Arabidopsis thaliana: one gene and its partner. The protein of the gene in region 1 interacts with the protein of each later gene in a pairwise test. Each region holds a gene or a part of one and is shown on either strand. Other genes may lie near its edges.

Evidence for each region.
Region 2: the proteins of ENODL18 (region 1) and UBC17 interact in a two-hybrid assay, tested with the Arabidopsis thaliana proteins (one large-scale study listed by BioGRID).

Annotation. Positions count from the first base shown.
Region 1 is NC_003070.9:2,686,812-2,691,013, forward strand, and holds ENODL18 (early nodulin-like protein 18), read left to right. Parts: upstream 1-2,068; 5' UTR 2,069-2,298; coding exon 2,299-2,491; intron 2,492-2,576; coding exon 2,577-3,070; 3' UTR 3,071-3,439; downstream 3,440-4,202. Other genes in the region: CPNIFS (chloroplastic NIFS-like cysteine desulfurase), read right to left, coding at 1-20, 125-224, 304-367, 484-556, 638-783, 893-1,079, 1,155-1,448, 1,539-1,736. UniProt on the Arabidopsis thaliana protein: May act as a carbohydrate transporter.
Region 2 is NC_003075.7:17,200,122-17,203,568, forward strand, and holds UBC17 (ubiquitin-conjugating enzyme 17), read left to right. Parts: upstream 1-1,800; 5' UTR 1,801-1,847; coding exon 1,848-1,877; intron 1,878-1,980; coding exon 1,981-2,084; intron 2,085-2,160; coding exon 2,161-2,263; intron 2,264-2,351; coding exon 2,352-2,415; intron 2,416-2,497; coding exon 2,498-2,586; intron 2,587-2,673; coding exon 2,674-2,769; 3' UTR 2,770-2,867; downstream 2,868-3,447. Other genes in the region: D2HGDH (FAD-linked oxidases family protein), read left to right, coding at 49-174, 259-351. UniProt on the Arabidopsis thaliana protein: Accepts the ubiquitin from the E1 complex and catalyzes its covalent attachment to other proteins.

The DNA of each region.
Region 1 (4,202 bases):
AAATACTTACCAATCTCTACCTGGATGACACAAGAAATTAAAATCTACAGTTAGAAAACATGTGAGAATCTCCGTGACTGTATGTACGTCATTGACGTCTAGTTGTAGGAAAATAAAATTAAACCTCATATTCATGGATTTTCGGCATGCCAATTCCTGACAAGTAATCAACTGCTGCTCCAAGGGCAATTGCTTCTCCTATTGCAGGTGTTCCAGCTTCAAATCTGATACAAACTTAAATATATTTATTTCTAAACTGCAGCAATTATGCAGATTAGTAACTAATATATGTAGAATCCCTACCTGGATGGAGGTTCCGCATAAGTTGAATGGTCAAGAAATACATCTGAGATCATTTCTCCGCCACCTAAAAGAGGATCGAAATACAAGGAAAAAAAGAAGTGGGACTCAGTCCAGTCCCATCCTTGATTAAACAGATATGATAAACTGTTTTCATAAAGAAATATTAGATAGACTGCTTACCTAAGAATGGAGGCATGGAATGTAGAAGATCACTCTTACCATATAAGAACCCAATGCCTGTAGGTCCACACATCTGAAGCATGATTATCATATTACTATAAGCTTGCCACAGGGCTTATTATGCATTTCATGAAGAAAAATAAACAATTCCAACCTTGTGAGAAGACGCAACTAGAAAATCAGCATTAAGCTTCTGGACATCAACCACCATGTGAGGAACACTTTGACAAGCATCCACTAGAACTTTCGCTCCAACATCGTGTGCCCATACCACAATCTCTTCAATAGGAAGAGAAGATGCTAAACAAAAAGAAACATAAGTTAGATACTTACCTTCTTTCATGGAAAAATTAAACACATATACAAGCCAAACAAATTGAATATGATGAGAACATGAAAAAGAATCTACCAAGAACATTAGAAACATGATGAACAGCGACGAGCTTTGTCTTTGGAGAAATCAATTCTCTCAACTTGTTTATGTCAGGGACTTCATCCTCATTCAAAGTCACAAACTTTAGAACTGCTCCAGTTTTTTGAGATACAATTTGCCAAGGAACAATGCAACTATGATGTTCAGCAACTGTAAGTATAACCTGAAAAGCTTGCATCATTCACAATCTCATTTGGAAGAATCTCAACAAGATGGATTGATAAAAGTAAAGCCAAACCTCGTCTCCTGGTTTAAGATTAGAAAGACCCCATGAATAAGCTACAAGATTGATGGCTTCAGTGGCATTCCTTGTAAAAACAATCTCTCTACTATCAGAAGCATTGATGAAACGAGCAACTTTTTTCCTAGCTAACTCAAATTCATCTGTAGCTTTAGCACTTAAATAGTGTATTCCTCGATGAACGTTGGAATTATAGAACTCATAGTAATTCTGCAAAGCGTCCAATACAGCTGCTGGCTTCTGAGAAGTTGCAGCACTGTCTAAGTACACAAGCTTTGACCCATTCACTTCCTGAAATAAAAACTCAATCAATGGTAAAATTGCTTAATTTTCAAATCCATACAATTCAAAGTTAATCAGGTTTATGGAAAGTGGACAAACCTGGTGGAGAATTCGGAAATCTTTTCGAACGCGATGGCCGAGAGAGACGGATTCGGAATCAGTGGAGATGGTGGCGGAGGAAGCGGCGGCGGCGGAACAAACGGATAGCGAAGAGGAGCAACGAACGCGGGAGAAGCTCCGGTGGCCGATGGAGATGGCGTTAGGGAACGACGGGAGTTTCATAGCCACACCTTCCATGGTGGAGAAGACGAATGAACAAGAGTGAGTCTTCAAAGTCACAAGTTCGACCACAGGCGGCGGTCAAAAGATTAATTTCATCTAAAGATATGGGCCGAATTAGGCCTTTTACTCCATTAAATGGGCCCTTGGTTTTTAAGGTCCAATCAAACCGGTTAAATACCGGTTCAACCGACTTTGAAACACTACAAAACACGTTATCTAAAATATCCTCCATTTAGTAGAAAAAGGCAGTTGACAGATATTTATGAAAGAAGTAATGATACGTAGGGAAGCGAAGACAGCAAAAGTAAGGTGTGAGAGTGAGAGATCACATGGGGAAGAGCAAAGAGGCGTTGTCATTTGATTGGACCGACCACTTCGTATCGTCTCATGTTCCTTCGCATCCCCAAGAATTGTCCACATGTCACACTCACACATGTCTTGGTTTTATATGCAGTCAATGACGAGCTCATTATTACTTTATGTACAGTTTCTTATGCCTTTCTTTATTACAAAGAAAGATCAATCAACGAATCACAATTTATAATCAAGAAAAACGGACAAGAGAGTAAGAAGAATTATGTCGCCTTCTTGTTCATCTTGTGTCAATGTGTTACTCATCATGTGCCTTATGCTTCTGAGTTTATCAGCTGATGCGTACAAGAACTACACTGTGGGAGAGTCCACGGGATGGTTCGATATTCAAGAGAGACCCTCTGCTAATTATCAGAAATGGGCCGATTCCAAATCCTTTTCTTTGGGTGATTTCCTCAGTAAGATTTTTTTCTTCAACCCCATTTTCGTTACTACAATAACTTAGCAAAATGTTATATCGTTTGTTTTGTTTTCAATATGTAGTATTCAACACAGATAGCAACCATTCGGTGGTTCAGACATATGATTTCAAAACATACAAAGATTGTGATTACGACAACAATGAAAACAATGATACAACAGAGTGGTCGGCTGCAAATCCTTCAGCAACATCTCCTGTTCCCGTCTCAATAAGTGTTCCTCTTGTTAAAGAAGGTTCCAATTATTTCTTCTCGGGAAACTATGATGGCGAACAATGTAAATTCGGTCAGCATTTTATGATCAATGTAACACATGGTCAGGGCTTACCAGATTCATCATCACCAGATGATGCTGCTGCACCTGGACCTAGCGAATCCTCTCAGTCCGGTGATGATGAAGTTGCTCCTGATACCATCGTCCCGGCCAATTTCGATCATCCTAAAGATATTGAAAGTGCTGATGATGATAAAGAGGTTCATAGTAAAAAAAGTTCTTCTTCCACAACAAAAACTAGTTTGTTTTGTTTTGTCTTTATGGGGCTCTTTGCATCATTTTAATCAAATATTCTTTCATATTTGTATGTATATGCATTCTGTTTTCTTCTTTTTCATAACTAGGATAATAATAATCAAAGAAACAAAAGAGTATTAGTGGAAATTTTAAAGCAGTGAGGGAATAAAGAAAAAAAGAGTAAAGATCATGAGTTATCCTTTTTTTATCGAATATAGTTTGTATTATGTTCAGTTTTTTACTTCGGATTTTGATGTCTCAAAGTTGAGTATCACTTGTTCTCCGAGATGCTTCAACGTAGAACTGCAATTTTTGTTTTTATGATCTAATTGTATCAACAACAATATGCATTATGACGGATATAAATCTAGTAGGTGACACAATACCGACTCCACTACAGATTATTAGGTTATACATACTAATCTGATTTGATGGACTAATTCATTGTATCTACAATATTTGTAGTCACAAATGACAAATCTATAAAGTTGATTAATTAATGTTCATCCGTTATCTAAATTGTTTTTTCCAACCACTTTTATTACAAAAGTTTTTAAAAGGTGTATTGTATCAAAGAACTTAAATAATTTGACATATTCTAGAATTTCCAATCACGGGGATTTTACTTTTACATTAATTATATACAAAAAATACTGTCAACAACAATTTTAACCAATTTAAAGGTCGTCAAATCATTATCACAAGAAAGGAAATGATGAGAACATCGTCAACAACATGGTTAATCAAAATGATCATTACATGAGTTGACATAGAAACTGTGCTAAAAAGCTTAAGGATGCATTAACATGTTAACTCAAGAGATTATGGATTCCATTCAGGATGTGATGTCTAATTGTCTATCATGTTTGACCACATTTTCGCTAGTCAAGAAACTCCAAAAGAAGGGACTATTTATTTGTGGTCAAGTCAAGAATCATTTTATAATTCATTATCCATGGAGAATGACCTAGCAACTTCCAATATTCATGCACTATCTTAACTTTATTTATGTTCTCAAAAACTGTCTTTATCATCATTTGCTTTCATTTCACGCAAATATTTTCTTTTAAATAAGTGTAATCTCCTCTCCAATGGGATCCAATGGAGCCCTTTTTCTATCAAGTAGTATTTTCTTTTGCTTTCACTTCATCGTCTCTTTCCGGATTTAGTTACTCAATC
Region 2 (3,447 bases), on another chromosome or scaffold:
AACATTCCAAGATGTTCAAGTGATCATTCATTCACTCTTTTCTTGCAGCTTTTAGGTTTGATAGAGCCTTATGTCTATGAGTGGACATCAAAGCACCGTGGAAGCATCAGTGCGGAACATGGATTAGGTGTAATGAAAGCTAATGAAATCTTCTACAGCAAATCACCCGAAACTGTAAGTTAACAACAAACAACGTATGGAAACTATGTATAGAACTATCGTGTCACTCTATTCTTACCGGAATATAATATTATGCAGGTTGCATTAATGGCTTCCATTAAAAAGTTGCTGGACCCAAAGGGAATTCTCAACCCTTACAAAGTTCTTCCTCACTCTCTCTTCTCCAACTAAGGTAAAAGATTATTATGCTTTATGATTACGCACCGAAATTATTGAAAGCATCTATCTTTCTATCTATGAATGCTCTTCCAACGTCAAAAGTGAAGAATCATCATCTTTTACTTTGGAATCATTGACATTCTTTTTTCGGCGAATGCAAGGGTGGTGATGAGATGATTCTTCAAACAGGAATTTGGAACATGAGCAGCCAAGTTTGAGCGATATGATTGATGCAAAGGAACAAAAATACAAGTGCTGATTAAAAAGTCTTTAAACTCAAAAGTGTATATGCTTCGCTTCTTCTTCTTTGTTGTTGTTGTTGTTGTTACCTTGTTTTAATATCTTTTTAGTAAAGGATAAGAAAGAATCTAAACCTATTGATCTTACGTGTATTTAAAGTTAAAATTTGCAGTGTATGTAGACCAAAACTCGAAAAGATAATCTATAATAATAGTATTTTCAAGAATCTTCACATAATATCTTTCTATTCTTGGAATTTCTGTTGTAATGGATTTTCTTATTTTGTTCACAAAAAGACTTTATTTTTATTTTTCCCCATAGTTCTGTTTTTACTTCATGTATTACCTTTCTTTAATGTCTTACTAGGAGAAACCAGATCGGTCAGATAAACCGGAATAATATCTGGTCCGATTGATTTGTATAAGTCTAACTAACTTCTCTAATTTAAGAGATAAGCTATAGATTTTAACATATTTGTTCTAAGTTCTACCAAGTATATATTCTTCTGAGACCTAAGTTGGACCTAACTAGATAGGAATATAAGATCCGTATTACCATAGTTCATAGACCATAGTTTCCATGGAACAAATGTGTACAAGTTTTGGTTTAAGGTGAAGCCAATGCATACAACAACATCATGCATCATAATTGTAATTATGACTAGTCAGTTTTGATATATAATCAAGTTGCTTACAACTTTTGTAACCATCGATCCATTCAAAATAATCAGAAGGACAAGGGCAATAAGACAATGAAAGCAATATATCATCGCTAAAAATCCAAGGCATCGTTGAATGATGGATCCATAAACCGGAAATAAATTAAAATAATGTTACAAGCCAACTTTTACCTGATGCATGTATCAATTCTTATTTTTGGTTAATATCAATAATATGCATGCATCAGTTTGGTTATCCTAAAATTTACATAACTCAGATATTCATAATGGTATGAGATTTTTAATTTAAGAAATTTGGTTTTCCGAAATAGATATTGGAATGTTTTATGATAATATTCCTAACTGGTTTGATCATGATCGCGAGAGTAGCAAAAGCGTGTAAGATTCGCTTCTCCAACACAAGTGGAAAGTCCCGGATTAAAGAGAGCCGACACAATAAAAACGACGTCGGATTGATGACTGGACATAGACCCAAACGCTTTAGACACATTGCAAAGATGATAAGACACTATAAAAAGCTCACTGGATATGGCTAAGGAGACAAAACACACACAATCTCTCTCTCTCACACTCACTGTAATAAACACAAATGACGAGTTCTTCTGAATCAACTCGCAAGGTTGGTTAATTGTTTCTTTAACTAAATATAACAGTACCTTTTTGGTTATAATTCCATTGTTGTCTTTGGTTTGATCATCTCTCTCTTGTTCTTACTATGTTAGGGTCTGACCAAAATCGCCACGAACCGGTTGCAGAAAGAGTTCATGGAGTGGCAAACCAATCCTCCTTCTGGTTTCAAGCACAGAGTCTCTGATAATCTCCAACGGTACATAATCATTTTATTGTCTTTCCTTCGAATATTGATAATCGGTGATGTAATGTTGAATTGTTGGTGTAAACAGATGGATCATTGAAGTGCATGGAGTTCCAGGAACTCTTTACGCCAATGAAACTTACCAACTTCAAGTTGAGTTCCCTGAGCATTATCCTATGGAAGCTCCACAGGTTCGTCCTCTAACTCCTTTTGTTAATACTTAACGATACTTAATCATCGCATCAATCTCATAACCCGATGGTTCCACATATAAAACAGGTTATCTTTCAGCATCCAGCTCCACTTCATCCTCATATTTACAGCAACGGTCACATTTGTTTAGGTAAGTACATACAAACACAATGACTCACTCTGTTTCAAAGTCCAATGACAAGACCCTTCTATGTGTTCTTTTGATTATGCAGATGTCTTGTATGATTCGTGGTCACCGGCGATGAGACTAAGTTCCATCTGTCTCAGCATTCTCTCAATGCTCTCCAGCTCATCCGTGAAGGTTTGTGTGTTTTATCTTCTTCTCATATTTCAAAGGCTTTCACAGAATAATCTTCTTCTTATGATGTTTATTGTTCTCTCCTTACAGCAAAAGCCGAAAGACAATGACCATTACTTGAAAAACTGCAAACATGGAAGATCTCCCAAAGAAACTAGGTGGCGTTTCCATGACGATAAAGTATAACATCTCCTATAATATTGTGATTACAAACGAATTGTAAGATCTCAGGTCGAGTTCTTGATCTGTTGCTATCTTTAAAACAAGAACAGCTTCTTTCTACAGTTTAACCATACGAAAAGCTTGAGCATAAAACTTGAAAATTTGGAAATAACATGATTCATTATTATATGAAAGAAATCATCAACTGTTAGTACAAACCAAGAACTGAGAGAATGATTGATCCAAAGAAGAGAGAACTTTGCTTCTAACAAGCCTTCGTGTATATTTGATAGAAGACAAAAATCTGTTTCTATCTCTAAAGAAAAGAGCTGCTGATGACTTTCCATCACATCTTACATTTGTAATAAACACTAGGAAGGACTACTCAGCAGAAGCTTCATTTGTTCTTGCTCATGCTCCATTTTAATAACACCTGCAATGTCAAAACCTAAAGCTTAAGCATATGAAGCAAACACGAATCATACAGATGCTAGAATACCTACTAAAAGTGTTTATAGACCAAGCAATTTCACATGTTTCCCAATAGACTACAAAAGCTATTCTAATTGCTCTTGCTCTGTACATTTCGACAAGAAACTTCAAAGGCCCTTCATGAAACTCAACGTCAAGCTCAGAACTTTACTCCCCTTACAAAAACAAAGCAAGCAACTTTATGCAATTCCAGAATCAAATTAATGTTCA